6 linked regions of the Callithrix jacchus genome follow. The protein of the gene in region 1 purifies or fractionates together with the protein of each later gene. This does not show direct contact. Links are inferred from orthologs where the notes say so. Each region holds a gene or a part of one and is shown in the gene's direction. Other genes may lie near its edges. The genes, in order: CDKN2A, TOP1, UBE2I, CUL2, CCND1 and CDK5RAP3.

Evidence for each region.
Region 2: the proteins of CDKN2A (region 1) and TOP1 purify together in Homo sapiens (affinity purification with western blotting; 3 studies listed by BioGRID). This does not show direct contact. The link is inferred for Callithrix jacchus from reciprocal best matches to the Homo sapiens genes CDKN2A and TOP1.
Region 3: the proteins of CDKN2A (region 1) and UBE2I purify together in Homo sapiens (affinity purification with western blotting; 3 studies listed by BioGRID). This does not show direct contact. The link is inferred for Callithrix jacchus from reciprocal best matches to the Homo sapiens genes CDKN2A and UBE2I.
Region 4: the proteins of CDKN2A (region 1) and CUL2 purify together in Homo sapiens (affinity purification with western blotting; 3 studies listed by BioGRID, with this or other methods). This does not show direct contact. The link is inferred for Callithrix jacchus from reciprocal best matches to the Homo sapiens genes CDKN2A and CUL2.
Region 5: the proteins of CDKN2A (region 1) and CCND1 purify together in Homo sapiens (affinity purification with western blotting; 3 studies listed by BioGRID and IntAct, with this or other methods). This does not show direct contact. The link is inferred for Callithrix jacchus from reciprocal best matches to the Homo sapiens genes CDKN2A and CCND1.
Region 6: the proteins of CDKN2A (region 1) and CDK5RAP3 purify together in Homo sapiens (affinity purification with western blotting; 3 studies listed by BioGRID). This does not show direct contact. The link is inferred for Callithrix jacchus from reciprocal best matches to the Homo sapiens genes CDKN2A and CDK5RAP3.

Annotation. Positions count from the first base shown.
Region 1 is NC_133502.1:128,971,937-128,976,186, reverse strand, and holds the start of CDKN2A (cyclin-dependent kinase inhibitor 2A), read left to right. Parts: upstream 1-1,450; 5' UTR 1,451-1,526; coding exon 1,527-1,652; intron 1,653-4,250. UniProt on the Homo sapiens protein: Acts as a negative regulator of the proliferation of normal cells by interacting strongly with CDK4 and CDK6. This inhibits their ability to interact with cyclins D and to phosphorylate the retinoblastoma protein.
Region 2 is NC_133506.1:36,462,147-36,465,646, forward strand, and holds part of TOP1 (DNA topoisomerase 1), read left to right. Parts: coding exon 1-67; intron 68-1,182; coding exon 1,183-1,251; intron 1,252-2,075; coding exon 2,076-2,190; intron 2,191-3,500. UniProt on the Homo sapiens protein: Releases the supercoiling and torsional tension of DNA introduced during the DNA replication and transcription by transiently cleaving and rejoining one strand of the DNA duplex.
Region 3 is NC_133513.1:3,569,106-3,572,605, forward strand, and holds part of UBE2I (SUMO-conjugating enzyme UBC9), read left to right. Parts: intron 1-1,091; 5' UTR 1,092-1,102; coding exon 1,103-1,168; intron 1,169-1,356; coding exon 1,357-1,440; intron 1,441-2,655; coding exon 2,656-2,728; intron 2,729-3,500. UniProt on the Homo sapiens protein: Accepts the ubiquitin-like proteins SUMO1, SUMO2, SUMO3, SUMO4 and SUMO1P1/SUMO5 from the UBLE1A-UBLE1B E1 complex and catalyzes their covalent attachment to other proteins with the help of an E3 ligase such as RANBP2, CBX4 and ZNF451.
Region 4 is NC_133508.1:34,659,359-34,662,858, reverse strand, and holds part of CUL2 (cullin-2), read left to right. Parts: intron 1-637; coding exon 638-766; intron 767-869; coding exon 870-956; intron 957-2,914; coding exon 2,915-3,067; intron 3,068-3,500.
Region 5 is NC_133511.1:126,559,004-126,563,144, forward strand, and holds the start of CCND1 (G1/S-specific cyclin-D1), read left to right. Parts: upstream 1-1,341; 5' UTR 1,342-1,424; coding exon 1,425-1,646; intron 1,647-2,338; coding exon 2,339-2,554; intron 2,555-3,044; coding exon 3,045-3,204; intron 3,205-4,141. UniProt on the Homo sapiens protein: Regulatory component of the cyclin D1-CDK4 (DC) complex that phosphorylates and inhibits members of the retinoblastoma (RB) protein family including RB1 and regulates the cell-cycle during G(1)/S transition.
Region 6 is NC_133506.1:118,316,492-118,319,991, reverse strand, and holds part of CDK5RAP3 (CDK5 regulatory subunit-associated protein 3), read left to right. Parts: intron 1-227; coding exon 228-328; intron 329-700; coding exon 701-749; intron 750-957; exon of another isoform or gene 958-988; coding exon of another isoform or gene 989-1,004; intron 1,005-1,446; coding exon 1,447-1,625; intron 1,626-1,827; coding exon 1,828-1,964; intron 1,965-2,131; coding exon 2,132-2,276; intron 2,277-3,302; coding exon 3,303-3,413; intron 3,414-3,500. UniProt on the Homo sapiens protein: Substrate adapter of E3 ligase complexes mediating ufmylation, the covalent attachment of the ubiquitin-like modifier UFM1 to substrate proteins, and which is involved in various processes, such as ribosome recycling and reticulophagy (also called ER-phagy).

The DNA of each region.
Region 1 (4,250 bases):
TTAACCTCCTGAGTAGCTGGAATTACGTGCGCCACCATGCCTCGCTAATTTTTGTATTTTTAGTAGAGACAGGGTGTCACCATTTTGGCCAAGCTGGTCTCCAACTCCTGACCTCAGGTAATCCACCTGCCTCGGCTTCCCAAAGTGCTGGAATTACAGACGTGAGTCACCACGCCCAGCTCCAAACCATTTTCTTTTCATGCCTCAAAACAGAATTGCATATAATAAAATTTAAATTAAAAAAAAGCACAGAATTGCAAGCCAATCCTCAAAATGGACAATTCAAGAGATAACAGGTATTATTAGCTTAGGGTATGCGGCACTGTTCTTAAGGTTCATATGTATTAATACATCAATTCATTTAAATTCACAACAACTCCTGTAAAGCAGGGGGCACTCATATTCCCCTACCCCTTTATAACTAAAAAAAAGAATGCAAGGTATTTTCAGTGGGAAGGGGAAATGTGCGTGTGAAGGAGACAGAACAGTGTGTAAAGCTGATCTTTGAATCACTGTGCAACTCTGCCTCTAGAACACTGAGCACTTCTTCTGGTCTAGGAATTATGACTTACTCAGAATGGAATCCGTCCTTCCAGTACTCCCTCCCCATTGGTACAATTCTCCCCTGTCCGTGGCACAATTCTCTCCTGTCGTATTAAGCAAACCTCATTTTTTCAGAGTCTGCCCTTATACCAGGCAATGCACATGTGTGAGAAATCCACGCCCTAGACAGCCGTTTTGCACATAGGAGGGGAAGGGGCAGGGAAGGAGAGAGCAGGCCGACTCTCCAAAAGGAATCCTTTGAACTAGGATTTCTGACTTAGTGAACCCGGCGCTCTCGAAAATCAAGGGTTGAGAGGGTAGGGGGACGCTTCCCAGTCGCACAGGTGATTTTGATCCTCGCTGGGCTCTCACAAACAGAAAAGAATAGTTTTGCTTTTTCTTATGAGTAAAAGAAGAAGCCATACTTTCCCTGTGACTCCAAATACCCTGATTCAATTTGGCAGTTAGGAAGGTTGTACCGTGGAGGAAGGAAACGTGGGCAGGGGGAGGGGTGTGGGGGGTGCGAAATTTCTTTTTGCTCTGAGACGAAAACGCGCGGTTGCTGGGAAGGCGGGGTAGCAAGGCCGGGAGCAGGGCTGCCGAAGGGCGGTGTAGGAGCAGGTGGGGAGGAGTCCAGCCTTTCCTCGCCGCCTCTGGGCTCCGGCGGGCGAGGGCCGCTTCCGGCTGGTGCCCCCGGGGCAGACCCACCTTGGGGCGGCTTCAGGGGTGCCACCTTCGCAGCGAGTGAATAGCACCTCCTCGGAGGACTAGCGAACGGCGCCCCCCCGCCTGGAAAGATATAGCCGTTCCGCCGGAGGAGTCGAGGGACAGCGTCCCGGGTGTTGGGGGTGGGGGCTCTTCCGCCCGCCCTCCCGGGTGGAAGAAAGAGGAGGGGCGGGCTGGTCTCGAGACTGCAGTGCGGGCCGCGAGAGCGCTGCAGGAGCGGAGAGAGGGAGAGCGGGGAGCGAGCAGCCGGGAGCAGCATGGAACCTTCCGCGGACTGGCTGGCCACGGCCGCGGCCCGGGGTCGGGTAGAGGAGGTGCGGGCGCTGCTCGAGGCGGGGGCGCCGCCCAACGCACCGAATAGTTACGGTCGGAGGCCGATCCAGGTGGGTACAGGGCCTGTAGCGGGAGCAGGGGGTGATAGGCGACTCTGGAGGACGAGATTTGCAGGGGAATCAAGTAGCGCTTTTATTCTGGAAAAAGAGAGGCTTCCTGCGCAGTTTTCAGAAGAGGTCTGTAATCAAAGACCTGGTCTTCTGGGGGCCCTGGGAAGCCACGGAAGGATTGAGGAGGCCCGCGCGTGCAGATCTCTGGAATGCTGTAAGGATCTGAAGAGGGGGGAAATATTTGTATTAGATGGAGGTATGCTCTTTATCAGATACAAAATTTACAAACGTTTGGGATAAAACGCGAGTCTTAAAGAAATGTAGGATGTACTGGAACTATTTAGCCCTGAATTCACAGAATCCTGGATGGAGCTTATCTTTCTTGCTAGGAGGTATTATCAGTAATAATCTATCGTGTATGTTGGAATAAATATCGAATATAAATTTATGATCGAAATTATTCAGAAGCGGCCGGCTGCGGTGGCTCACGCCTGTAATCCCTGCACTTTAGGTGGCCGAGGCGGCCGGACCACAAGGTCTGGAGTTGGAGACCAGCCTGGCCAACATGGTGAAACGCCGTCTCTACTAAAAATACAAAAATCAGCCAGACATAGTCGTAAACGCCTGTAATCCCAGCTACTCGGGAGGCTGAGGCAGGAGCGGAGGTTGCAGTAAGCCGAGATCACACCACTGCACTTCAGCCTGGGTGAAAGGGTGAAAGTCCGATAAATAAAAGAAAAGAAAGAAATTATTCCGAAGCAACTACATGTTGTGTTTATTTTTAAGTGAGTAGGGCAAAAATATATGTTTGCTGTAGGAACTTAGGAAATACAGATAGATAGATGCATATAATGAATCACATTCATGTGATCACACCAGATGTAATATGTAGTTACCATTTTGGGATTATCTGCTGACATTTTTGCTGTTTTTGCTATCTTTAGCTTTCTTGATATAATTTATTTGTGATAGAGTTTTAGAGATTTTTCATTTCCTCATTTTTGAAAAGTAGTGTTTCTCCTCTCCCCACTCCAGTTTTGTGAGGGGTTAGGGGATGATTTAAAAGTAATTAATGCCTGGGTATCTTTGCATCTCTAAAATTGTAACAGCAGCTTGGACCTGGAAGTTTGGCATTGTAGCCCTAAAATATTGTAGAAGAGACCTTATTTGTTTATAAGCAAAAAGGGAAAAGAAAAGTGGATAGTTTTGACAATTTTTAATGGGGAAGGGAGAAGAACATGTAGAAAAGGGGAAATGACGTTGGCTTAGAATCCTAACTACATTGATGCTTAATATAGAAACTTATTTGTATAACATTTTTAAGTACTAAATTCATATTAATTTCTTATTAAATGTGTTTAAGCATCCTACACATTTTCATTCAATTGATTCATTTTCTTTTTGCTTTGGATTTCTATCATGATTTAAATAATTACATATGGGTTACTTTTTAGATTTTTCATACTATGAAATATAAGAAAAACCATTAAGACTAGTTTTATGACCGAAATGAAGGACTTCATTGAACACACAAAACAATAAATTTACTGCAATATTTTGTCTTTTTGTAGCTGCAATTTGGTTTCTTGTACTTTCTCTTTGTCTCCTTGAAAAATAACTCAGTTTCACTTTCTTAGGACAGGATTTAGTAACTACAGTATAATTTAGTATAATTCTTTGATTTAGGCAAATTATACAATTTGTGTTTAATACAAAATGTGCCTAAAAATAAATAATTCTTCTTTATAACACCACCATCCTCAAGCTGATATAACAAATAACAGTTATCTCAAAATAAATTATCTGCTTCTACTATCATCTACCACATAATACTCAAATTTTAAGGTTGCTATGACTGCAGACAGTGTTTTAAAATTCCTCTTTGGAAATGGCTTTGTTTTCAAGATGATTTAGGAACCAAAGAAGTGACCATCTCTTATTTAATGAACTCTCAAATTATAAACCTGGAAAGTGTTTAAGTTTCCTATTGCTACTGTTACAAATTATCACAAATGTAGTAGTAAAGCAAACACAAAATTATTATTTTATAGTTCTAGAGATCAGAGGTCAAAAATGGGTCCACAGTGCTGCATTCCTTTTGGAAACTCTAAGGCAGAATCTGTTTTCTTGTCTCTTCCAGCTTCTGGTGACCATCAAATTCCTTAGATCATGGCCCCTGTATTTTCTCTCTGGCCTCTGATTCTAATATTTTCTCTCTGACTGTGACCCTCTAATAAAAACACTTGGGGTTATGTTGGGCTTACACTGAAAATTCCAGATAATCGCCCTCATGACCATTAATTCAATCACATCTACAAAGCCTCTTTTGCCACCTAAGGTAATATATTAACAGCTGTTGAGGATTGGGGCATAGATATTTGTGGGGACAGGGCATTATTCAGCCTACGACAGAAAGGAATTTTAGGACTAATTAAGACTAGCCATCTTGTTTTATATTTGAAGGAATTGAAGTTTTGGAATTGGAGAGCATTGTGCTAAATGAAATAAGCCAAACACGGAAAGACAAATATCACATGTTCTTACTTATTCGTGAAATATAAAACAATTTAATATTTCGAAGTAGAGAGTAGAATGGTG
Region 2 (3,500 bases), on another chromosome or scaffold:
GGTAGAGTTTGACTTCCTTGGAAAGGACTCCATCAGATACTACAACAAGGTCCCTGTTGAGAAACGTGTAAGTTAATTTAGCCTGTATTGTCTGGCTTGTTTTTCATTATTCAACAAGCATTGCTTGAGTGCTTTGTGTCCTCTGCAGTTTGCTGGGTACCAGCAAAAGTGACTTGAGACAGGCATTGTAGCACATGCCTGTAGTCCCAGCTACTTAGAAGACTGAGACAGGAGAATCACTGGAGACCAAAAGTTTGAGGCTATAGTGTGCTCTGATCACACCTGTGAATATCCATTGTACTCCAGCCTGGCCAACAGAGTGAGACCCTGCCTCTAAAATTAAAATAAATAAATGACTTGAAAGAGGGGAGAGGTAATATTTGATGTCTTGTGTACCTCCTTTTAGTCACTGTCCCACCCTGTATTACCTTTCTGATAAGGACATTTGTCACTTGGCATCTTTACTTAGCCTCTCTCCAACTCCTGACTGAGTGAAAGGTTAATCTGTTAGTCCCCAGATCCCACCACTGAAGAGGGTGCTAGAGCTCCATAGTCCCAACCTGATCTTTTCCAAAGTATTGGGCTGGAACCAGAGACCTGTAGTGTGCAGGATACTAATAATCCAGCCCAGCAGCAGTCTCAGATTTAATCAGTAATTAGACTTTGCTGGCCGTGGAAGAGTACTCTATTAGATGCTAAAGCGATTTGACAATTAAATGTAATGCCTGACCTCAGATTGGATTCTATACTGATGAAGTAAAGGGCATCATCAGATAAAGTGACAAAATTGGATTGTGGACAGTAGATTAGATAACAGTAGGTATCAATGTAAATTTTTGAAGCTGATAAATACTGTGTAAATGTAAGGGTATATCTATTTTTACAATGTACAAACTGAAATATTTAGGGTTAAAGGACTGTATGATAAGTAAGTACTTATAAATGGCCCAGAGCAAATAATTATGTATATATATCTGTAAATATACATGCGGAGAGAGTGAGCATACATGTGCCCTGTGCAAATGATGAATGAGGTAAAAGGTTAACAGTGAATCTGGGTGAAGGATGTATGCATGTTCCTGTGCCTTTTTTTTCTTTGCAAGTTTCTGTAAGTTTGGGATTATTTCTAATGTAAGGATTTTTTTAAAAGAGTAATAATTGGGATTCACTTATTTCTTTTAGGTTTTTAAGAACTTACAACTATTTATGGAGAACAAGCAGCCTGAGGATGATCTTTTTGATAGACTCAATGTGAGTAGACAAAGCACACTGGGTTGAAGGGATTCCCAGCCAGAACCTCAAGGGGAGGGTTGCTGGCAGATAACGGGCTCTTCCTTTAGCCTGGCCTGCTCTGTGGCATCCTGTATACTCTCTCTTCCTCCCTCCAAGCCCACGGTGAATCTGTGGCCAAGAGAAGACACATCTGCTGTAGAACAAATGCTAAGGCCCTCAAGGTGAGAGTAGATGAACCCTACCTTTTATCCCTTCCCTGCTCCTGCAGAGCTTTCCCTTCACTGAATGCCCAGCCATCCCTACTGGAGACCCAAAACCTGTGCCTGAGATCTTGATAGGGAAGGACAAATTTGCTTTATTGGTCTGTTAAGATCAAAATACTGGGCCAGGCTTGGTTGCTTACGCCTGTTATCCCAGCACTTTGGGAGGCCAAGTAGGGCAGATCCCTTGAGGTCAGGAGTTTGAGACCAGCCTGGGTAACATGGCAAAATCATTATCTAGGCGTGGTGGTCCATGCCTATAGTCCCAGCTACTTAGGAGCATCAGGAGGATTTCATGAGCCCAGGAGGTGACGGCTGCAGTGAACCGAGATTGCACCACTGCACTCCAGGCTGGGTGTCAGAATGAGACCCTGACATACGTACACACACATGCACACTGAAATACTTCATAGAGAGGCATTATGTAACCCTGTATTCTGGAATTCTTTTCCTAACTTCTCACTTGTAGGGAAATAAACTTGACACGATTGTGACTGCACTGGTATAAATTACTCCTAGGGCTGCCAGAAGGAGCAGGTAGTACAGCTTTGACCTAAGTCTCTGTTACATTGTCTCCTCCAGACTGGTATTCTAAATAAGCATCTTCAGGATCTCATGGAGGGCTTAACAGCCAAGGTATTCCGTACATACAACGCCTCCATCACGCTACAACAGCAGTTAAAAGAACTCACAGCCCGTAAGTATTACTTGGCTGGACAGGGCCCACACCCCTACTCATGGTATCCGGTGTCCTTGCTTAGCTAAGTCCTAGAGTCAGTTCTACTTTTTTTTCCCTACCATTGTGATCAGACACTTTTCCTCTTTAGACCTCTAATAGTTAGCTAATGCTTAGTTGTATAAACTTAAGATCAGTGCTGTTTCCCCCTTCCCACCCCAACTTCAAGATTAATTTCATGGATTGCTGACAGCTTTTTACCTGCTATGAAAATACCTGCATTTGTGTTTTATTAATATATTACTTAAAAGCTCACAGAGTGAAGGCAGTGCTGTGATGTTCTGTTAAATTGAAGAGAGTAAAGTTGTCATGTTTATGAGAAAGATACAGGGATAAGTCCTTTCCCTAAAGTTTCTATCATTTTTTTTCCCTGTAAGAGAGTAGATACTTTCTATAGCCAATTTTTAGAATATTATCACCAAGATCACGGACTTTTTTTTTCCTGGAGCCCAGTCACTAATGAATTTCCACTGCCCTCTGTAAATACGTCAAATGGCCTTAGAATATGAACCAGAAAAGCCAGAGGTAGGTATGTTCAGGTCAGTGTTTTAAGGTGATAGAAAGAATGCGACACTGTTTATACAAGTAAAAACAATTTTTTTGGATGACATTTACAATTTTTCTTTTTAAATAATATACTACCAGGCCAGGTGCAGTGGCTCACACCTGTAATCCCAGCACTTGGGTAGCTGTGGCAGGAGACTTACTTGCACCCAGCAGTGTTCCAGACCAGCCTGGGCAACATAGTGAGACCTCATCTCTACAAAAATTTGTAAAAATTAGGCAGGTGTAGTGGTAGTCCCAGATACCTGGGAGGCTGAGTCCAGGAGTTTAGGGCTGCAATAGCCACAACCATACCACTGCATTCCAGCTTGGGTGACAGAGTAAGACCCAATCTCTAAAATAATAATAATCATAATAATACTACCACTCATAGCTTAAATTTTTTTAACTTTTAACATCTCTTCAGTTCCTCATTTTGTTCAGGCTACATTGGGTAGAGAGATAGGGAGGCAGGGAGGCAGGGAGTGGCCAGTATAGAACTTAATGAATATGGGCAACAAACCATAGTAATAATAGCAGCAGCACCTATGACAAGCATATGGGTAGGGAGGAAGCAAGGAGATGAAGGGTCCCTAGCCAAGTTCTCTGAGTAAAAAGAAAGGTGTAGATTTTATTATATTACCTCAGAGTTCCTCTTGTGATGGGAATTTACCCAGGCCAAGCTTACATATTAACTTCCTATTTTCTTATGACTGTTGGCTCAAATT
Region 3 (3,500 bases), on another chromosome or scaffold:
CCTCCACGGGTCCCACACCATCCAGGTCACCAGGGCCCTTGTGCCCACCTAGGACGGCCCCCCTACAGCGTAGAAGGCCTGGCGGAGTCCTCAGCTCCACAGAGGTGCCCCCCTTTGGTGCTGAAACACCAGAGTTGAGGGCGGCTGCAGCGTCCCTGTGGACTTTGCTAACCAGCACACACTTAGGTTTCGATTCTCCAGCAAGTCGGTAAACAGAGTGCTGTTTCCGTGAGTAAAGGTGGCCACCAGCAGGGTGACCGTCGAGGGTGGCGTTGAGGCTGCGGGCCCCGCCCCCTGGTGTCCTCAGCGCCAGGAACATCTCCCTGGATCTGCAGCCCTCCTGCGGCGACAGTGCGGTCCAGCATGCTCCCACCTAGAGCCATAAGGCAAAGGTGCCCGGCCCCTGAGCTCCCATCCAAATGTGTGCCACTTCGTCTGGCCAGGGATCTGGTCCCCTATGCCGAGCTCTGCTCTGCCCGGCAGGACCCGGCTGTCCCCTGAAGCCACAGGTTTGCGGTAGTGGCTGTGGGGTCTGGGAAGGGTGGCCCTGTGGGGGCTCCTCCCACAGCAAGTCTGAGCCTCTGCCCTCTGGTGCTTCTTCCGTCCTGTCTTCAAGAATAACAGGAGTCCACTGGCCGATGTCTCAGTTCTGAGTGCCCAATACTAAGTCAGGGACCCAGTACCCCACACACACCTGGGGACCCAGCCCTGCCTATTCCCCACCTGGTGGTGTGGTGGGGACCCTGCCATGCCAGCCACCACAGGGTGGCAGCTACCACCTAGTCTCTGAATGTCTGTTTTGTCCCCATGGAGCAGAGGCCACACCATGTGCCACAGATGGGGGCATGGTGGGGGTGGGCACAGGGAAGGGATCTTACCTGCCCCCCACCCCGGCAGGTGATCTGGGAGCCACTCACAAAGCCTCCCCTGGTGGACCCCAGGGTTGGACAGCGGCTTGCAGAAGAGTCCTGCTGAGCTGGGCCAGCAGGTGTTGGAGCAGGTCCACCTGCTGCGCGCCGGTGTGCGCGTGATCGGGCAGCAGGAGCCTGCGTCGCCTCTCCTGATGGCGTGCTCTGCCTCCTGTGTTGCAGGGACTCTGAACATGTCGGGGATCGCCCTCAGCAGACTCGCTCAGGAGAGGAAAGCGTGGAGAAAAGACCACCCGTTTGTAAGGAGAGCTTCATGTCCGTGTGCAGCGCAGTGGGCAGTCTCCCGGGTTGAAACTGTCACGTCCCTGCCGGAAGGGAGCCGGCCACGTGCCTGTGCCCAGCCACTGGGACTCACAGGCGGGTTCTCGGTGATCTTGGTGAAATGATGCCACCGCGCTGATGGGCTTTTGTGATTGTTTTCTCTCAGGGTTTCGTGGCTGTCCCAACAAAAAACCCCGATGGCACGATGAACCTCATGAACTGGGAGTGCGCCATTCCAGGAAAGAAAGGGGTAAGAGGCGCACGCTGCCGGCCTCCGCCTGGCGGGGCCCAGCACCACAGGGAAACCACTCAGATCCCTGCCGTCCGTGACAGCCATCCTTGTCACAGGTCAAATCCCAGCTCTGTCCTGGCCCCTGCCCCATCGGGACGTGAACGCAGAAGGTGGGACTGGCAAGGTTTGACAGCTGTATCCCCTCCCAGGGCAGTTCTGGTTGAGAAGGAAGCAGGCTGGCACCTGGCCGGGCACAAGGCTGAGCTGTGGCAGCAGGGAGGGGCTCTGATGTGTGTTGGGAACGCAGAGCTGCACAGGCGAGGTTGAGAGCAGGTGGAGAGGCAGGAGTCCTTCAGGATTCGGCTGCGTCCTTCAGCGTGTGGCTCAGCTTTCGGGAGCGGGTTTGTAGGGGGAGCCAGCCCTGCGTAAAGCCGCCTCCTGGAGACCCCCCAGGGACCGGCGGCGTCTGCCTGGGCGTCCTGCTTGGGGACCCCTGTGTGTCCCTGGCAGGCAGCACAGCCCATGTGCCTGTCTTCTTTGGCCCGCGCACGTGAAGCGCCTGGCCGGGGACTCCAGGCTGCGGTGCACGTGCAGTTCATGCTTGTTGATTCCGAAGGGAGCGGAGAGACCCCTGAGGTGCTGGTCCTGCCTAAGGCCTCGTTCCCTCCGGCTCTGGCCCCGCTCTGGGTTTCTGTGAAACTCAGAGCAGCTCTGGTCCCCTGAGCTCAGCAGCCCCCAGGACTCTGCCTTGCCCGAGACATAGCGTGGCTTGGGTTCGTCACTTGTCCGAGGCTCTGATGAGGACGTCCTTGCCCCTCACGTTAGGGCGAGGCTGGTGCACAGCGCCAAGGAAGGTGGAAGGTGGTGTGGGGTCGTGGGCGGCAGAGGTGCCTCGTCCAGGCGGGATGGGGGTGGGTGCTTGGGAACACCCCTGGGGTGAGGGCAATGCTGTGCTCTTGGTGCCCTTGTGCCAGCCCCAGTGTGCGGTGCTCTGCCCCCAGCCCGGCCCCCACCTCCCGCCTCCACTCCTTTCCAACTTACTCTGGGCACAGCAGAGGTCCTGACAGCCCTCTTGTTGAGGCTGTTCCAGGCTGCAGGCTGGTTTAGGAGCTACCTCTGTTGGGCCTCTGGCCCCTGGTGTCCTGGGGGCTGTGCCTGAGAAGCAGGCCCCTTCCTCCTGGGCCGCCCTGTGCGGGCGAGCAGCTCATCTCACCACGGTTTATTTCCCATTAGACTCCGTGGGAAGGAGGCTTGTTTAAACTACGGATGCTTTTCAAAGATGACTATCCATCTTCACCACCGAAATGTGAGTACCTCGCCATTCAGTGCCCTGGAAGGCACCCCTGGCTGCGGCCGTGGCGCCCTGGGCTGGGTGGTCTGCGTGGAGCTGGGAGGGAGATCACAGACCGGGAGGTCGCCTTTGATTCTTGATCCCGGCTGGGCTGCAGATTTGAGTCTGTTTCCAGCTCCGGGGCCGGGCGGTGCACACAGTAGGTTTAGTCTTGTCCTGGCTAATGGGCTGGGAAGCTCCAGAGTCTTGTGCACGGAGGGACTGAGAGCCAGGCCGGAGCTCCTGGACTGGGAGTGCCTGGAGCCTCACTGAGGACAGAGGACTTGGTGACCGCACGACCCTGCCCTGGATGGATGGATGTGCAGAGGGACTGCCATGCAGTCTCACCCTCTGAGGAGTTCTGTCGGTCCACCTTCTTACTGCTCCTGCTGTGTGGTCTCTTACGGTCTGTCCCCACCGTGGCTGCGTCTGCAGCCTGAGCAGGTATAGAGCAGGTGACAGCAGAGGAAGCATGGGAAGAAAGGCTGTGGCCAGGCCCCAGATCCTGCCCATAGCTAAGCTGATGACCTCAGCCAGCCAGTGCAGCAAAGCTCAGGAGGGAGGAGAGGGCCGCCGGGTCCCCGCCCTCCCATAGCTGGCAGTCGGCAGGTGGTGTCCAGTGAGTTCCACGCGTCAATGCACCCAGCACCTAGAGAGCGCCTGGCCATGGTGAGGCGACAGTTGAAAAAGCTTTCCCCTGTGATTGTCAGTCGAGGCACACAAGCATTCCACCGTGGCACCCACCCTC
Region 4 (3,500 bases), on another chromosome or scaffold:
AAGTATTTTATTTTACAAAGTTTGGGTTTTAACATGTCTATTTTGAAATAATTTGCATTACTTTTCATGTAGATTCTGTTAAATCTGAAATCTAAAGGAAATCTGCTAATAAAGTTTGGGTAACCTTTGACGGAAACATAATTTTACATGGTTTTTGTAACATTTTTTAAAAGTACTTCTTCAATGTCAAATTATAAAACCACTTGAAACTCACCTGGGTGTTCTTTTAAAAATGTATGTTACTTATATCAGTTGCTTTATTGGTCAGTAAGTGATGACTCAATGTTGGAACTTGTTCTAGTTCTTTTTAAAAACTTTATGATGTATATTTTATTTAGTTTGCATTTATGATTATTACGTAGAGCTTTTGAAACCAGGTGTGGTTGTGCACGCCTGTAGCCCGAGCTACTTGGGAGACTGAGGCAGAAGGATCCTTTGAGCCTAGGAGTTTGAGACCCCAGTGAGCTATGATCTTGTCCCCTGCAGTTCAGCCTGGGCACAGAGCAAGACCCAGTCTCTGAAAAAACAGCAAAAACTCTGTCCATTGAACTCATTTTGTATTACCACTTTGCCTTGGTTGAGGCGTGATATATACAGAAGCACCCTTTGTAAGATTTATTATCAATTTCTACTTGAGCTTGCTAAGTACTGTGACAACTTACTGAAGAAGTCGGCGAAAGGAATGACAGAGAATGAAGTGGAAGACAGGCTCACCAGCTTCATCACGGTGTTCAAATACATTGATGACAAGGACGTCTTTCAAAAGGTATGTTGTGAACAGAAAAGTTTATTTGTGTTTTAGTCAACTTTATTACTGAATGCTAAATCATTAGAAAGGAAGTAATCCTAAAAAATTTTTTTCAATGTAGTTCTATGCAAGAATGCTGGCAAAACGTTTAATTCATGGGTTATCCATGTCTATGGACTCTGAAGAAGCCATGATCAACAAATTAAAGGTAATGTAAGTCTTTAATCCTGTACTGTCCTAGAAATTCATTCACAAGCACATGAAGATGTTCATTGCAGCATTGTATGCAGTAACAGGAAACAATTCATCTGGTTCAGTGTATGTTCATATATTCGCACAGTAGGGTATACAAATACTGTATTAAAAGAACAAGATATATATGTTTATACGAAGATTCACAGCTGGGCACGGTGGCTAATGCTTGTAATCCCAGCACTTTGGGAGGCTGAGGCAGGCAGATCACTTGAGGTCAGGAGTTCAAGACCAGCCTGGCCAACATGGAGAAACCCCATCACTACTAAAAATACAAAAATTAGCCAGGCATTGTGGCACATGCCTGTAATCCCAGCTACTTGGGAAGCTGAGGCAGGAGAATCACTTGAACCTGGGAAGTGGGGGTTGCAGTGAGCCGAGATCATGCCACTGAACTTTAGCCTGGGTGACACAGCTAGACTCCGTCTCAAAAAAAAAAAAAGATTCACAAGCTAATCAGTATTAACAATAAAAGATTATTGCTATTTATAAATGAATACATGTAAAATATTCCTTTAAGTACAGTTTTGGAATGCAGTTCCATTTCAGTTTATTTTTACCTCATTTCAGCTTGCTTATACACTGACAAGTAAGTGGTAGCAGGTTCTTACTTATCTTGTGTTATTCAATAATTAAATTTTTTTGCATAGTAGACATTTTGAATATAATATGTGCTCCTTTTTCTTTTTATAAGAGATAGGGTCTCCCTATGTTGCCCAGGCTCGCTCTAACTCCTCGACTCAAGCAATCCCCTCACCTCAGCCTCCTGAGCAGCTGGAACAACAGGCGTGTACCATTGCTTCCAGTTGCTGTGTGCTCCTTTTTAAACCTACAAAAAAAACCTTAGCTTTTAATTTCTAAAAGTAGTGTTGGTCAGGCATGGTGGCTCATACCCATAATCCTAGCACTTTCGGAGGCCAAGGTGGTAGATTGTTTGAGCTCGGTAGTTTGAGACCAGCCTGGGAAATGGCAAAACCCTGTCTGTACCAAAATTACAAAAGTTAGCCAGGTGTGGTGGTGTGTGCCTTTAGTCCCAGTTACTCCGGTGGCTGAGGTGGGAGGATTGCTGGAGGCTGGGACGTTGAAGCTGCAGTGAGCCATGATCACATCACTGCACTCCATCCTGAGTAACAGAGGAAGACCCTGTCTCTAAATAGATAAATTAATTAATTGCAAAAGAAAATGGAACACAGCTTTTTATGTTTCGAGATTAGAGATTCAGATTTTCTGACCTGGTAATGACAGAATTTTGAATAATTTGAAAGAAATAGTTTTCTTTGTCACTCAGTAGATGCTATTAAAAATATTCCTAAATAGCTCTTTTTCAGTTTTCTATTGGCTGGAGTATTCCCAGTAATCATTTATGTAATCTTTTATTTGATACTGTCTGTAAACCTTATAAGACCCACAGCTATAGCATATGCCAGGAGACCCGCTACTGGGAGGCTGAGATAGGAGGATTACTTGAGCCCAGGAGTTTGAGGTTGTAGTGCACTGTGATGGCTCCAGTGAGTAGCTACTGCACTGCAGCATGGGCAACAGTGAGACCCCGTGTCTTTAAAACAAAACATAACAAAATCCTTATACGGTATCTTATATGTATTAATGGGGCATTTTGCAGTGCTGAAATAAGAGATGACTGTATTAAAAAGTTTTTGTTTAAGGGGAGGTTTATTGTTCGTAGATAGGTGGTTTTCATTCACCTATTTAAAATGTACCTTTAAAAAGAAAGGCAGTTTGAAAGGTTTTGATTAGTTGCTTTGGGTTGTGAAGAATATATTACTAGTCCTTGGGTGTAAGTGTAAATGCAAGGACCTTTGACCAAAGACCTAGCAATAGTGACACATTCTTATTAACCAATATGACTTACTGTTTTTCTTTTAAAGTCATATATTTTCTAAAACTTTTTTATAGCAAGCCTGTGGTTATGAGTTTACCAGCAAGCTACATCGGATGTATACAGATATGAGTGTCAGCGCTGATCTCAACAATAAGTTCAACAATTTTATCAAAAACCAAGACACAGTAATAGATTTGGGAATTAGTTTTCAAATATATGTTCTACAGGTATGAGTATGTGTTTTACTATGACCATTTATTAATCATTTCAGTACTTTGATACAAAGGATTCATTAATGGATATCCGATTACATTTGGTTCTGTTAGTAGATCGTGGCTTCCAAAGTTCTATTGATTTGGGCTGGGCGTGGTGGCTCACACCTGTAATCCCAACACTTTGAGAGGCCAAGACGGGCAAATCTCTTGAGCTCAGGAGTTCCAGACCAGCCTGGCCAACATGATGAAACCCCATCTCTACTAAAAATACAAAAATTAGCTGGGCGTGGTGGTATGTGCCTGTAATCCCAGCTACTGGGAGTCAAAGGCAGGAGAATCACTTGAATCCCAGAGGCAGAGTTTGCAGTGAGCTGAGACTGTGCCACTGCACTGCAGCCTGGGTGACAAAGCAAGACTGTCTCAAGAAACAAAGAAGTCCTATTGA
Region 5 (4,141 bases), on another chromosome or scaffold:
TCTGCCGGCTTGGATATGGGGTGTCGCCGCGCCCCGGAGTCCCCCCTCCTCGTGGTCTCCCTAGGCTGCGTGTGGCCTGTGGGGCTTCCCAGTTGTCCCCTACTGCAGAGCCACCTCCACCCCACCCCCAAATCCCGGGGGACCCGTTCGAGTCGGACCGGGCCCCCTGTACCCCTCTTTTCTGGCGGGGAGAAAGGCTGCAGCGGGGCGATTTGCATTTCTATGAAAACCGGACTACGGGGGCAACTCCGCCGCAGGGCAGGCGCGGCGCCTCGGGGATGGCTTTTGGGCTCTGCCCCTCGCTGCTCCCGGCGTTTGGCGCCCGCGCCCCCTCCCCCTGCGCCCGCCCCCGCCCCCTCCCGCTCCCATTCTCTGCCCGGCTTTGATCTCTGCTTAACAACAGTAACGTCACACGGACTACAGGGGAGTTTTGTTGAAGTTGCAAAGTCCTGGAGCCTCCAGAGGGCTGTCGGCGCAGTAGCCGCGAGCAGCAGAGTCCGCGCGCTCCGGCGAGGGGCAGAAGAGCGCGAGGGAGCGCGGGGCAGCAGGAGCGAGAGCCGAGCGCGGACGCAGCCGGAACCCACAGCCCTCCCCAGCTGCCCAGGCAGAGCCCCAGCCATGGAACACCAGCTCCTGTGCTGCGAAGTGGAGGCCATCCGCCGCGCCTACCCCGATGCCAACCTCCTCAACGACCGGGTGCTGCGGGCCATGCTGAAGGCGGAGGAGACCTGCGCACCCTCCGTGTCCTACTTCAAATGTGTGCAGAAGGAGGTCCTGCCGTCCATGCGGAAGATCGTGGCCACCTGGATGCTGGAGGTGCGGGGCTTCGGGCGGCTCTCTTAAGACCTCCCTGCAACTTGTTGCCCATACCCACGTTTCTTTGCTTCTCACTCCCCTCTCTTCTCTCCCGCTAGACCTTTGAAGTTTGCCGGGGTGTTGCTAGGTATTTTCAAAATAAAAATTGTGGGTATTTTCTGAAGAAGGAAGGGGTGGGGGTGGGGGTGCTAGGAGTTGCGTTTCCTGGGACGGGAGGAGGGGGTCGGGGAGGGGTGCCTCCAGGAGAAGCCAGTGCCAGGAGCACCCCAATGGGCCCGAGGGTGCGGGCTGGCAGGTTAGGTGCGCTTTGTGCCCCCCGCCTGCGCCCCAGCCATGCTGCGGCTCCTCTCCCGGCCGCCGCGGCCGAGAGCCTCCAACTCCGGGGGGAGGGGGCATAGATTTGATTTTTAAATTACTATCCATGGACACGTATGCAAGGGCTTCTCGTGCCAGTATTATGCGCCATCTTTGCTCTTTTATTGCACAGCAAAAGTGTTTATTAATAATTGGGGGCAGGGTGGGGGCGGGGAGCGGCCGCCGGGCGCTGGGGCCGCAACTAGGGGCCCGGCGGCTGCCCGGAGCCCGCGGGAGGGGCGCGGGGACGCAGCATGGGTAGTTTTGGGGGGACCCCGCTGGGGAAAGGGGGGCCTTTGTTCAAGCAGCGAGTCCCAAAGCGCCCCGCACGGGCAGCCTGGGCCGGAGAGCACGCCGAGCTGCAAGGTCGCGTGGCCCCCAAGACGCCAGGGCTGGATCCCCGTCTGCAGGGATCTCGGCTTGGGGGACCTTCTCCGAGCGAGCCGGGGGCCTGGGAGAACATTTTCACACCTTCGGTAGGCGCCTGAGGGGCCCGCAAGTATTTTTAAATAATTTTTGAAAGTGCGGCGTGGTGCCCTTGCGAGAGGGAAACACCGCCCGCGCCCAGGGGGAAGGGGGTCCCCGGAGTTTGAATTCCTGGGGCTTCCCCCGGACCCTGTAACAAACTCCCGACCCCCGGCCTGGGTAAAGGGCCGTCCGAGGGTCATTTTCAGGGTATTTTTACGCACTTAGTTATTTTTTAAATATTTTTAAATATTTTTTGAAAAGATGACGTCTGGGGAAATGCGGCGCGGCGGCCTGGGACGCCACCTTTGTGTCTCGCAGGCGCGGCGCCCAACCCCGCGGCCTTTTGCGCGGCCCCGCACCCCAGTGGGTGTCGACCCACAGCCAGAGGGGCCACGGAGCTCCAGGGCGGGCTGGGGTCCCCGGGGCCTGCAGCCCGCGCCGCCGCCCAGCTGTGCCCGCTCCCGCCCCCACCATGCCAGCCTCGCGGGGACTTTCCCTTTCAGTTTCAGGGAGGGTGGATACTCGGGACGCGCGCGAGAGGGGGCGCATCACAGGAAGCTTCTGCCGCCCCCGGCCCCGACCCCTCGGCGCCCTCCAGAACTGGTGGTCCTGCCGAGCGCGATGGGCATGCGAGGGCGGGGGAGTGGGGTGGGGGTGGCGCGACCTGGCGGCGGCGGTCACGGGCCCCGTGCCCCCGCAGGTCTGCGAGGAGCAGAAGTGCGAGGAGGAGGTCTTCCCGCTGGCCATGAACTACCTGGACCGCTTCCTGTCGCTGGAGCCAGTGAAAAAGAGCCGCCTGCAGCTGCTGGGGGCCACCTGCATGTTCGTGGCCTCTAAGATGAAGGAGACCATCCCCCTGACGGCCGAGAAGCTGTGCATCTACACCGACAACTCCATCCAGCCCGAGGAGCTGCTGGTAACCGCGGGACCCCCGCCGCCCCCCGCGAGCCGCAGGACCACCGGGCCGGGGAAGGTGCAGGGGCGGCAGGCGGCCCCTTTGCCGGGTGTCCTCGTCCTGGGAGCGGGTGGGATCCTAGCCGCCCCGTGCGCGCTTGCCTGCGACTCCCACCTCGTTAGCGCTCTGCGGTGTGGCCGAAAAATGGGCGGCGCGCGCCCTCCAGCGGCTGCACCGGGAACGCCGCGCTCCACGCTGAGCCTTCCGTTCCAGGTGGTGGGAAGTCTTTTTGTTTCCACTTGCAGAATCTTTTCACGCGGCGGGCGCCTTTTCTGTTTTGATCTGGGATCGTGTGTTGCCCCAGCTTCCTGGACCCCCCAGCATTCGCCAGTCCTGCTCCCGCACCCCCAGGACCACACGAGACTCAGGGGCTAGGGCCATACTGCCGGCTTCCCCGCGTCCCCAGGCCGGCCCGCACCTCCCCTGATAGCCGCTCACCCTGTGTTCGCAGCAAATGGAGCTGCTCCTGGTGAACAAGCTCAAGTGGAACCTGGCCGCCATGACCCCGCACGATTTCATCGAACACTTCCTCTCCAAAATGCCAGAGGCGGAGGAGAACAAACAGATCATCCGCAAACACGCGCAGACCTTCGTTGCCCTCTGCGCTACAGGTAGGGCAGGCCCAGCCGCCCCCAGCCTCCCCTTGAAAGCCAGCACCTTAGGTGGCCTGGCCAGCTTCTTGCTCTGCACCTGGGTGCTGTCCCGGAGGACGTCCCTAGGCCCCCGCCTGCGCTGGGAAGAGTTCTTCCAGCTCTGGTGAGCAGAGGTGCTGGCTTGTTTGCGCTGGATGGAAGGGGATTTGCCCTTACGGCCGCGCCACCACGCAGCCAGCCTGCCTGTGTCTAGATGCTGTGGCCTCATCCTCCAGGCCGAAAGGGGTTTACCTTGGCCGCAGGGCCGCCTCCTTTCCCCACCGACCTCCAGCCCTTCTTGTGTCCTTAAGGAGCCTGAGCTGCGGGGGCCCCCTCCTGGCCTCTCCCAGGCTGGGCGACTTGCCAGAGGCGCCTCCGGGGGCGGGGAGAGCTGTCGGCCCGCCTGCACCACGTGTTCTGGGCAGCTGAGTGCAGGGGTGTCCAGCAGAGGAGCTCAGCTGCCTGAGGCCCTGCCAGGGGTGCCGCCAGTCTGCTGGGCTCAGCTGAGCCCTGGGGAGCACTTCAGAGCAGTCTCAGCTTAGGCCGCCACCGTGGGCAGCAGAAGTACCCAGTCCTCACCTCCGCTGGCATGGCCCTGGCCCCAGGACCCAACTGGGATAGACACATGCATACACAGGGTGCTGCCTCCTGCTGTCCCCAGCCCTGCCTCTGACCCCCCTGTGCGCCTCCTTCCCTGGTTACCCTGATGGGGGGGCCCTGCCCCCTTTTGGTCAAGCCTCAGTTGTCACATCTGTTTGTGGGCTCACTCTGGGTGACAGGCCACAAGGTCCGGGACATCAAAGACACAATAGCATCTTCTCCCCCAATCCCTTGAGGGCAGAGCCCCCCCAAACCTATTTCAGCGCACCCTCTGACACAGGTAGCCAGCAGTTAGTGTATTATTCCAGAATGGTTT
Region 6 (3,500 bases), on another chromosome or scaffold:
TCAGCTGAGCTACTCCCTTGTTATTTAGCCACCAGGGCTGGCCTTTAGAGAGAGAGCAATTTTTATTTGAGGTATAGTTGCTGGCTTCTTCCACCATGAAATGATCAAAGGAAAAGCTACACACTAAAGTTACTGGCAGTATATTACACATGAATCAACTACCAGCAGTGGCCAGAGTAGGTGAGGAAGATATTGTAGTTCTCAAAGTCCTGTCTCTTGCTTTCCAGACATTCACTACTTTCACTGCCTAAGAATCGTGGACCTTCTCAAAGGCACAGAGGCCTCCACGAAAAATATTTTTGGTCGATATTCTTCACAGCGGATGAAGGCAAGTGTGGGCCAAGGGCTGTTAGTATGTGGCTGGGGACTTCCAGTCCAATGAGTCATCGCCTCTGTGGTCTCTCTCAGGCTCCAGTGGAGATGCCTACATACAATATTTTCTGAACTTTTGCTCTGTCTCTGTAGTTTATTCCAAAAGTAGATCCTACTCCTGAATTTAATTTTCAGACCCATTACTTTGGGGATCACCTGCACTCTTAAAGTGGTTGGTCCAGCCAGCAGTATAAGTTGAAAGAAGGACAAGGAATTTGTGTTTAATGTGATGTGAAAGCTGGGAGAACTTCCCCTGTTTAGGGATTGAGCTGGGATGTGGCTGTTGAGTGCTTTTCTGGCTTAACATCCTCTTTCTGTTCTTACTCAGGATTGGCAGGAGATCATAGCCCTGTATGAGAAGGACAACACCTATTTAGGTAAAGTGGCCCAGCCTGGGAGCCCTGGTATCTGTGGGGAAGCCCACTTCCAGAGTCCTGAGATACCAGGTTTATAGGAGGCACAGTCTGTGAGTGGGAAGAAGCTGGAGTGTAGATGTTGCCTATTTGTAGGTGGTAAAATCAATTGGTTTTGATGGAATTGATTTTCCCACCCACAGATTGATTTTCCACTGGGTGGAATGCTGGGGGAAGGAGGAGGCCGGAAGTGGGCATTCGCCATGCCTCAGCAAGCAGGTGTGTGTGTGGGTCCTCCACCACTCACCTCTTGGTAAGGAGAAGTGTGCAGCTCCTCCCACCCCATTCTACATAAGGCAGAAGAGGCACAGGTTCTCCTGGGAGCAATATCAAGTGCCTAACTTGTGTTTGGATTGGGTTTAGTATAAATAATAATAATGGCTAATATTTACTGAGCACCTACTAAATGCAAGGAATTGTGCTTGGTGTATCATGTGGATTATCTTTTGCATTTTCACAATAAATGTTATTGTCACTGTTTTACAGATCAGGGTTGGATTAGAGGGGTTAATTAACTTGTCTTAGGCTCCACAGCTGGTAACAGGAGGGGCTGGGAAGCTGACCTCATGCTCACCACCACCACAAAGCGTGTGTGTGCATCCTGGGACATGTCTACCTCATGTGAGGGTGTCCTGGGCTGAATTTCCTGGGCCCTTCTCAGTGGAACTCTCTAGCCTCCTGGTTCGGAATGTCAACTATGAGATCCCCTCACTGAAGAAGCAGATTGCCAAGTGCCAGCAGCTGTGGCAGGAATACAGCCGCAAGGAGGAGGAGTGCCAGGCAGGGGCTACCGAGATGCGGGAGCAGTTCTACCACTCCTGCAAGGAGTATGGCATCATGGTGAGCAGTGGTGGCCTCTTTGCAGCCAGAGGACACCTGGGCCCCTGTCTGTCTTCCTCTGACCCTGTCTGATCCCTCAGCCCAGTTGTGCCTCCTCTGGGCCAGGGTCTCACTTTTCTCCAGTCTTTGGATGTTTTATTCAGTCTGTTGTACTCCGCCTCTCACCACTTCTGTCTCAGTTCCCCTCTTCTTCCCTCTCTAGGGTGAAAATGTCCGAGGAGAATTGCTGGCCCTGGTGAAGGACCTGCCAAGTCAGCTGGCTGAGACTGGGGCAGCAGCTCAGTCCCTGGGGGAAGCCATCGACCTGTACCAGGCCTTTGTGGGGTTTGTGTGTGAGAGGTAAAGAGGCCTCAGTTTCTCCTGGTGGGCTCATTTTGCCTGTGTTCCCCAGCTCATGTCTGTGAACCTGTGGGGGCCTTGCACATTTGACCATGTGACCCAGGCCAAAGCCCAGTGTTGGCCTCATGCATGGTCGGCAGGAGAGTTAGTTGTGTGCTCTGTTGAAGCTCCACAGAGCAGGTGTTGCCAATGCTGCAGTTCGTGCAGAAGCGGGGAAATTCAACGGTGTATGAGTGGAGGACAGGAACAGAGCCCTCTGTGGTGGAGCGACCCCACCTTGAGGAGCCTCCTGAGCAGGTGGCAGAAGATGCGGTAAGATGGGCCTTGTGATGAGCTGTGGGAGAAGAGTGGGACCTACTTGTTTCCTCCCCACCCCCAACAGCCCAACCCAAGACCTGGATTCAGAGTCCCAGAGGGAAGAAAGGGGGTTTTGTGTGAGAGTGACTGTAGGTACAAGGGCCCAGGAGGCCCTACTCCCTTACTTTTATTTTTCTGAGTATGTATTTTTCTTTTTCTTTTTTTGAGACAGACTCTCACTCTCTTGCCCAGGCTGGAGTACAGGCACAGTCTCAGCTTACTGCAACCTCTGCCTCCCAGGTTCAAGTGATTCTCCTGTCTCAGCCTCCTGAGTAGCTGGGATTATAGGCGTGCGCTACCCCACTCAGCTAATTTTTCTATTTTTAGTAGAGATGGGGTTTCACTGTGTTGGTCAGGCTGGTCTGAACTCCTGACCTGGTGATCTGCCTGCCTCAGCCTCCCAAAGTGCTGGGATTACAGGCAGGAGCCACCACGCCGGCCCTAAGTATATATTTTTCTCTGTGAGTGCTGCAGAGGCTTTGCAAGGTGGTTCGCTTTGAACTCGGAACCTCCATCATGCGATCTTTCTGAAGATGGGCTTTCTTTGGGGGAGCTTAGAGGCCACTGTATTTGAACAGTGTGCTCTCTACAGAAGCAACTGAGGCCTATGGGAAGGCAGCCCCACCCTCCTTTTTTAATTAATTTATTTTTGAGACTGGGCCTTGCTCTGTTGCCCAGGCTGGAGTACGGTGGCATGATCTTGGCTCACTGCAACCTCTGCCTCCCATCCTCAAGTGATCCTCCCAAGTCAACCTCCCTAGTAGCTGGGACTACAGGCATGCACCACCACTCCCAGCTAATTTTTTATTAACATCTTTGTAGGGACAGGGTTTTGCCATATTGCCCAGGCAGGTCTCAAACTCCTGGGCTGAAGGGTTCCAGGGGAGCCTCCCAAAGTGCTGTGGTTACAGACATGAGCTACCATACCCAGCCCTTTTTAAATTCATCTTTCATGAGCTAACACTCTCTTTCCGTTTCTAGATTGATTGGGGCGACTTTGGGGTGGAGGCAATGTCTGAGGGGACTGACTCTGGCTTCTCTGCCGGGGCTTCTGGAATTGACTGGGGCATCTCCCTGGAATCAGACTCAAAGGTGAGGAGGCCCTCTTAGTCCATCTCTCTGATCACTACACTAACCATAAGACAAGTGTAATTTCTGTCTGTAAAGGCATCACTTGAA